Linked DNA regions of Canis lupus familiaris. The protein of the gene in region 1 interacts with the protein of each later gene in a pairwise test. Links are inferred from orthologs where the notes say so. Each region holds a gene or a part of one and is shown in the gene's direction. Other genes may lie near its edges. The genes, in order: HOXA1 and RGS17.

Region 1 (4,522 bases):
CTGCAAGAAAGTGATCATATAATTGTATCTTCACTTTCTTTTTATTTTTGTATTACATTAGGATGCATTGTCATGAGTATTTTTGGTAGAATAAATTCTCCTTTGCTATAAGTAGCTTCTTATTTTTTTCTCCCCCCTCTTTCTCAAGGCTCATAACGGTTTCTTTTTCTTCTTTTAGTCTAACTTGGTAAATAAAATTCTGGTCACAATCCATCTTCTTTTTCCATTTTAATATATTTATTAAGGGGGCATGTTCAAAGTCTTCAACAGACAACAACAAAAAAGAAAACCAGAAAATGGTTAGGACTTCTGAGAAGTGTTTTTTTTTTCTTTCCTTTTTTTCTTTCTTTCTTTTTAAAGGGAATGGATTTGGTTTTTCAGTGTAGAGGTTCAAGCCATAGATTTAAATTGGTGATAGAAACAGAATTGGGTAGCCCCAGAGCTGAGCCAAGCCCAAGCTTTTGAAAGTGGCGAAATAAAGTGCCTACAGAAACCCCCAACTCCAGGAAGGAGGAACATGGAGTTTCTTTAACAAGCTACCAGTCTTCAGGTCAATAACTAAGTTATCAAAATTCATTTATTTATACACATTTGTTTCAAACATCTACATTCCAACCCCTCCCCCACAATCCCGGAAACATTTTCAGTGTGGTTGATTAGTCTCCCAGCTGTTGATGGGTCCAGGCAAACAGACCTAAAAGGTAGAGAAAAACAAAAACAAAACAAAACAATGGTTACTAGCTGGAAAATGCACTTCAGAAAGGGTTCTTTCCAATCCTTTGGTTCAGTCATTCTAGGATTCTTTTTTTCAGGGTCAGAAAAATCAATATTTCATTCTTAAATCTGTTTACATGGCAAATAATGGATCATTAAAGCTGTGAAGTCAGGTTACCAAGTTGAGATTTTAAATGGAGAGTTTCTGCGCCCTAGGTTATAAATTAACCCAGTTTCTAGAAAGAAAGAGAACAAGCACTTTAAATAAAATATCAATAAAATGTGATCTAGGGCACGTTACTGGGTTGTTCTGGTTCTTTCCCCCTTCTTACATCTCCCCATGCTGATCTTTCCCTTACTGAGCTCTGCCGCGATGGCCACTTACCGTGAGAAAACGCAGCGTGTAAGCAACATGTGTGGGGGGCGGGTTGATTTAGGAGCCCGGCTCTTAATAGCTAAGGCTCGGAAGTTACAAAGAAATCGCGATCTCTCTCCATGGGTTTGCACCCTACCTTCCTCCACCCTTTTGCCCCCTAAATCCTGGCAGCGGCCGAGGCGTGTGAGGACCCGGGCGGGTCTCCAGCTCCAGGCGCGGAACTGAGCAGGGCGGCCCGGCCGCAGCCCCGGCTGAGCCGCTGCTGTTTGCGATTCGTCCTACGCTCATAAATCAAACGCTTTCTATGAATGAGAATGTCATCAAAGAGATCAATTGCAGGAACACATGCACAAATAAAAATCCTCTTACGTATTTGCCGGGGATCCCCGTCCGAAAGCATTAAGTTAGAAGGCGTTTAGTCATAATTCATTTTTATTGCTCTTTTAAAACAACAGCTTGGCTGAGCCGCGGATGCCATGAACAGCTCCGGGCCTCGGCAGCGTTTTGTCTCCTCCTTGCTCCTTTCCTTGCTAAGAGCAGAGCCCTGGAAGAGGCGCTTTGAGCCCAGCAAGCCGCTCGCAGGTCCTCGTTTAAATAGCGATCGAGCTCTCCTCTCGCCCACTCTCTCTCCCGGGGCATTTAAAGGGACTTCAGCTCGAGTCGTGGGGCGCTGGCCTACACGCCCCGAGGCCCAGGGTCTTCTGCAAGGCGGAGTGAGCCCCAGGATTTCGTGGGGGTGGGGAAAGAACCGAGCTACGGAAGCCTTACGGGCCCGAGGCCAGGGGAGCCTGCCTTTGTAAGCCACACCGGAGAGCAGCGCTCCGGGCGGCCAACCGGGGCGGAGCCGGCTGGGCTGCGAGAGTCCGGCGGGCCGGGAGCCGGGAGCCGGGAGCCGGGAGCAGTGCGCGGAGGTGGGTCGGTCGCGGCCCCGAGCGCTTGCGGGCCTGTGTGCAAGCGCATGCATGTGGTCCCAAGAAAAACACCCCCACCCGTGCTGGCTCTGGAATGAGGCCCGGAGGGAGGAAGAGAAGTGGAAGGAGTGGAGCGCAGAGGCCGAGAACTAGCAGAGGAAGGGGAGCGATTGCGGCCCGGGGCGCTTTGTGGCGCGAGCCCTGCGGCCAAGGGGGTTGCGCAAACCCGGGCTGAAGAAGCCAACAAAGGAGTGAGGCCAGGGGAAAGGACGTCCTTTGGTTCGGAAGGCAGATCGTCCGCAATGCCAGCACGGACCCTCTCACGTTCCACCTCCTTCCCGACAGGAGCCCCTCCTCTCCCCGTCGCTGGAAGCCTGGAGCTCCCAAAGAAGCCGCCTCCAGAAGGGCCGCCTTTCCTTTTCCCTTCTCGAAGATGAACGTCCCCAGGTGCTGAAATTGGGGCAGGAGTGACCTTTCCTGTCCATGCTCTCTCTTAACCGGGGTTGGGGATAGGTCAAAGGTCATTGAAAAATACCATTTCAAAAGGAAATGTTGGGGGGGAAATGTTTCTTTGCTACTGAGGGAATCCGTAGTCTGACTTCTGCAAGAGTTTCCCCTGGGGGAAGGGGCGACTTGGGAGGGGGGAAGCCTTCTATAAGTGGAGAACAGGATGGAGAACCCTGAAAGGTTGACTAACACACTTGAAATGTGCCTGCCTCGAGCAAAACTTTCTTCTTCTAACTGGGGAAGGAAAGCTAGAGGGGAGTGGGAACCCCATCCTCAAATTACTTTTATCTGTTCGATTCCGATGTGGTACACAGGGTCAGAGACAAATCTATGCTGCATTGGCTGCAAAGCTTCTTGGATGATCTCTGGATTTCTTTTACCTAAGAATGCATCAATCCTCGGTCTCAGTTTGGCATTTTCTCTCTACAAGCCAAGGGTTGACACGAAACCTAATAGTAAACAGCAATTAACGACCCCGTCAGCATCAGGGTAGGATGAGGGTGATGGAAAACAGGACCCCTGGCCTGGGATGACGCTCAGATTTGCACGTGTCTCTCTAGGGAAAGACTTGAAGGTTCACACAAGGAACTACACAGGCAGTTACAAAGGGGAGGAGGTGTTGGGGAAGAAGAAAATATCCCGTCCACCATCAGCCATCTGTCCCCCGCCCCTCCCACCTGCCAGCCCCTACCCCCCACCTCAGACGTGCAGTAGAAAGGGGAGGGGGCGGTCAGTGGATAAAGGAGGCCCTACCACTCCCAACATCCCCCCTGCAGAAAACGAGCACCGTTGCGGGGGGAGCTCAGCGTATTTTGTTGGAGCTGCGGGCTCGCCCTTTGAGGCCCCTGCCGGAGCGCGCAGACTCCTGGGTCCGGGGGAGCCGGCAGATGGCCTGCAGCGCACCGCCCGGCCCCCACGCTGGCCACGTCCGCTAGCGTCATCTTTCTCCCCCGCCTCCAACCCTTCAAAATCCCGCGGCCGAGCTGCTCCGGATCCCGTAGGGCTCCCGGAGCAAAGCCGAGTGGGGAGGAGAAAGGGGCGGAGAGCGAGGAGAGAGGGAGGGCGAAGAGCCCGGCCACCCCCGGCCTTTTCCGGCCAGCTGAAATACTACCAATCACCCGCTCCCGGGCGTCGAATTACAGAAGCTTCTCATTGCCTTGCTAATAATGTTAGGGTGGAGGGAGTAGGGTTCGGAGACCCTCCTTGGAGAAGGGAGGGTTTTTTTTGTTTTTTTGTTTTTTTTCTCCCTTGCTCTTGTCCCCTCCACGCCCACCTGGGGTCCTGCAGGCCAATCCTCTGCCCACTTCCCTCTCCCTTCCGAGCTTGAAGAGCTGGTGGCCCAGCCTCGTCCTACGCCACTGTCCCCTGGGCTTCTCGCTGCCCCGGCACCGCAGCAGGGACTGTGGACTGAAAAGCGCCCGGGGAGCTGCCGTTCCTGCTCCGCGCACGGCGAGCTCGGGCCCCGAGCTGGTGGCAGGGCGGCGAGCTCTGGCCCGCTGGTTCCCGACCCCGGAGAGACGGAGCCCTCTTCCCTTCTCACCTCTCGCCAGTTCATCTTTCTGTGCTCGGTGGGGAGGGGGCGGAGACGGGGATGCCTCCCAGCCCCCACCTCCCGGAGGGGGGGAGAGCGCAGTCGGCGCGCGCAGAGGGTGGCGGCTGCTCCCCTTCGGCCCAGCGCTCCGAATCTGCCCCTGCAGCCGCCGCAGCTGCCGCCGCCGCCTGGGCTGCCTGGGGGGGCGACTGCGCGTCACCTAGACTGAGCAGCGCCGGGGATTTAAATGCCACTGAAACGGTGATCCATCACCGCGGGAGCCAGCAAACTTTCGCAGGAGGCTCCGCCATTGGCTGGCGGAGTCACGTGCCCCTCCCCCTGCGCCCTCCGCCCTCGCGCCCCCCCTCTTGCGCACTGTACATTCATATCATTTTTCTTCTCCGGCCCCATGGAGGAAGTGAGAAAGTTGGCACGGTCACCCAGGGCTTCGCAGGACCCGGTCCCTCAGTGACAGATGGACAA
Region 2 (3,808 bases), on another chromosome or scaffold:
GCCCAAAGGCTTGAATCATCTTCTTGTATATGATCTCTACAGTTATTGGTATTATTTGGTGGCATAATATTCTATCACTGTGGCCAAAATAGATGAAACGTGCTACGCTTTAGTGGTAGTGTTGGTGTTGAACAAGCTCTATCCCTTCTAGGAACCTTCATTTCCAAAAAACCATCAGACATTTTAGTAACTTGGAAGGTTTAGTTTTTATAAATATCAAAACTGCTTCCCAGATGATGATTCTTTGTTAAGGAAAGTCATAAGTGACTCCTTTTCTTTCATTTTTAAGCCTTCACTATTTCAGGTGGAGGAAATAGAGTTTTAGAAGAAGGAAATATTTCAATAAAATTGTGAATATTTTTTCCTTTATCACTCCTAAAGAGATCATTTAACTTTGGTCTGAATCCATGAAGTAAAGCGTAATGCCTTAATATGGTGGTTTGGAAGTCAGACTGCCTGACTCATGCTCGCTATCTGTTTGACTTTCAACAGGTTATTTTAATGTCCTCAAATTCCTCATATATCAAATTACAGTCATAAGAATCCCTACTTCATCAGGTTGTTGTACATTAAATGAAATAAAACACAGGCTGAAAACAGTGCCTGACACATTGTATGCATCTAAGAGATAGCTCACTGGGGGCACCTGGGTGACACAGTCAGTTAAGCGTCCTACTCTTGGTTTTGGTTCAGGTCATGATCTCAGGGTCATGAGATTGAGCCCTGCATCAGGCTCTGCACTCAGTATGGAGTCTGCTTGGGATTCTCTCTCCCTCTGTACCTTCCCACCTCTGCCTTCGTGCTCTCTCTCTTTCTTTCGCTCTCATTCTCTCTCTTGCATTAATTAGCTCACTGGATAGAACACTTCATATTGGAGAAAATAAAATCTCCTTAAAGAGGAGCTCGCTTGAAATAATGTATATGTATTTTTTAAAGATCTACTTATGAATATAATATAAAAACTAATCTTCAAAAGGAAAGCTAGTTTATTTTAGATTCTATAAGAGACATCCCAAATATATTGTTACATAGTGTTGGAGATTATGTTTCTATTTCTCATTTGTACTATGGCTATGTTCCAGGAATCAGTATATGATTTTATTTACCTGCCAAAATTTATTTCTGAATTGCTTCAGGATTATAACATCAAAACAGATAAGGAGTATGGAAGTTGTGTTGCGCTATATTCATTTGCTTGTCAAACACCTATTTGGCGACATTTCCTTTTTTTTCCCTCTCCTGCATATATTTAGTGAGACTTGCTTTTATTAATCTTAAAGAACACACTAACAAAACATTCAGTATGAGCTCATGAGCATGAGATTGTCACAGAAAACGGACTATGGATGGAAAACAAAACAGCTTTTGGAAGCTGCATGAACTCTCCACACCTCTGAGTTGATGCCTATTTGAGCTTAAAACATTTGGTGCACTGGATGAGGGCTCTGAGTTCTAGACTTAAGTGTCCTTGTCGAGAACTGTGTTTTTTAGCAATGAGTCATGGGTGCCTGAGTCTAAGCCATAAAGCACACAGTCTATAAATGTATAAACTCTTCCATATATGATAAATCAGAGGTAATTTCTAATGTAAACAACTTGAAAAAAATGAGAATAAAATCGTCTTGAACTATGGATTCTAATTGTGACAGTGTTATCTCATTGCAAATGAGAATCTCCTTAATAAATGCATTTTGAAAATATCATTTTTCTATTTTGGGTTTAAGAAAAAATATTTAAAGCCTTATTAGAGTGGGAAAACAAAAGAAATAAATGTTCTTCAAATTTTCCAGGCTAGGTCAGAGGAGCAGAATAGAAAGAAACACTAAAAAATGTTAAACTTAGGGACCAAAATAAAGTTAGAAATCAAAATAGGAAGTAACTATCATTTGTAAAAAGGAGCAGTTGTCACGTAGCTGATTTCTCCTCCTTTTAAGGAAATAAAATGCTAGGAAAGTAAATTTCTATATCGAGTAATAAATACAAAACCTCACCCTGGCCTTCAATGTTATGGATCTTTTCAACATCATAGTGTTTCCCTCAAATTTGCATTTATCTTTCATAGTTCAGCATCAGCTCCTCTCCCATATTTAAACTTAACTGTGTCGTAATAAAATGACCACTGTGCTTTTGGGGGTGGGGGATGATATAGAGATTAAGTACAAAACTGCTGAATATTTCCACGGTTTCCTTCCAAAGTCTAAAAAGCTGAGACTTAATCTGTAATGACTTGTTAAGCCAATCTGTTCTCTGTTCCTTTCAAGGAAACACTTCTGTCTTCAGATCAGTCTACTTCTCTTTTCTCCCCACAGCCTTACATTTCAAGGGGAGAAAACAAGGGAATGTGGTTTAGAGCATGTTAGTTGTTGTAACATGAATGAATCACGGAGGTCTGAGTTTTGGCCACAATATAAACCCTGTATAAACTTACAAGTCCTTCTATATGTGGGACTATGCTTAGTACTGACCAGAAGGAAAGAGGATTTTGTCAAGACCACTTGTCTAAAAGTTCAAGGCTGCCACTATGAAAACTTAATATTCCTTTTATGTCTGGATTCATACAGAGGTAATTAACCCTCTTCCCTTTTCTTGATGAGAAAGAAGTCTTTGAAAGTTGTGGGCTCTCCACCAAACTGCCATCTCTAGGACAGTAGAGGGCAGTGAGGCCCCTGCCACACAATGCACTGTAGATGGCACACTGTGTGCCATCTCAAAGTAGAAACTGCTGTGGGCTCCTGAAAGCAAAGTGCCTCAAGAAGGAAATGGAAAGTAGAGCCTTCAAAATTTATGTCTATTTCCAAATTGTCCCATGAGCTCTCTCCTAACATCAGAGGTTATGTTAAAATGTTTTTCAAAGAAATCTTTAGGTGCTAATCCATCCCTTTTTTGATTTCTTGTTTTCCTGGTTGTGTCCTATCAAGCAAGACAGATTTCCATGGTCAACCATGAAAAATCAGAACTCAAGAGACATCAGCTCTCATCTCTCCAGAATGGTCCTATTGACTTCTTATGCCGTGTGGTGGAGGTGAGGGGATGACTCCAGGGGGGTCTGGGGCTGGGATCTGCAGCCCTGGGCTCTCTGCTTCTAGTTTCCAAAGGAATGGCTCTGTCTAGCTATTTTACATATTAGACTTAGGTATAAGCTTTTTTTTTTTTTTTTTTAAAGATTATTTGAGAGAGAGGGTAGGGGAAGAGCAGAGGGAGAGGGAGAGACTGTCTTAAGCAGACTCCACATGGAGCCCAACACGGGGCTGGATCTCACGACCCTGAGATCACTACCTGAGCCAAACCCAAAAGTTGGACACTTAACCGACTGCACTACTCAGGCACGCCATGCTTTTGGCTGGAAGAAAAAATGGCCTTGTTAGAAAATGATGTCTGGAAAATGCTGTGTCTGATGTTCCAAATAAGGAAACTGAAGCTTGCCTACCTTCAAGAAGCTCATTAGTGACAGAAGTGAAACTAAAATGCAAGTCTCTTAATATCCAGTCCATTGTTCTGTCCACTTGAAGATGACACTTCCAAACTTTTCATTTCCAGGTTTGATATGAACCATTTCCAAAGCTTCTTAGTTTTCAGATTGAATTAATAGTCTCATACACCACTGTTAACAAGATTTGGCCCACTGCATTGGATATTCTTCATTCTCCTCAGGAGAAGTTGTCCCACCACAACTGAAATTAGCCCTGTGGAAAGCTAAAATTCATTCTCTCCCTTTTAGATACATGACTTCGCAGAATTCCTAGACCATGGGATAGATCTAAGTAAACATTAAACACTTCATAAACATGCTTTTGGCTGCCCCTCCCTC

Evidence for each region.
Region 2: the proteins of HOXA1 (region 1) and RGS17 interact in binary tests that used the Homo sapiens proteins (3 or more experiments, as listed by UniProt). The two-hybrid records come from large-scale screens. The link is inferred for Canis lupus familiaris from reciprocal best matches to the Homo sapiens genes HOXA1 and RGS17.

The regions. Positions count from the first base shown.
Region 1 is NC_049235.1:40,366,202-40,370,723, reverse strand, and holds the start of HOXA1 (homeobox protein Hox-A1), read left to right. Parts: upstream 1-1,546; 5' UTR 1,547-1,843; coding exon of another isoform or gene 1,844-2,493; exon of another isoform or gene 2,494-3,862; coding exon of another isoform or gene 3,863-3,975; exon of another isoform or gene 3,976-4,117; coding exon of another isoform or gene 4,118-4,236; exon of another isoform or gene 4,237-4,329; coding exon of another isoform or gene 4,330-4,350; exon of another isoform or gene 4,351-4,458; 5' UTR 4,459-4,514; coding exon 4,515-4,522. Other genes in the region: WAS/WASL-interacting protein family member 1-like, read right to left, coding at 1,844-2,493, 3,863-3,975, 4,118-4,236, 4,330-4,350. UniProt on the Homo sapiens protein: Sequence-specific transcription factor. Regulates multiple developmental processes including brainstem, inner and outer ear, abducens nerve and cardiovascular development and morphogenesis as well as cognition and behavior.
Region 2 is NC_049222.1:43,600,408-43,604,215, reverse strand, and holds part of RGS17 (regulator of G-protein signaling 17), read left to right. Parts: intron 1-2,918; exon of another isoform or gene 2,919-2,922; coding exon 2,923-3,022; intron 3,023-3,808. UniProt on the Homo sapiens protein: Regulates G protein-coupled receptor signaling cascades, including signaling via muscarinic acetylcholine receptor CHRM2 and dopamine receptor DRD2.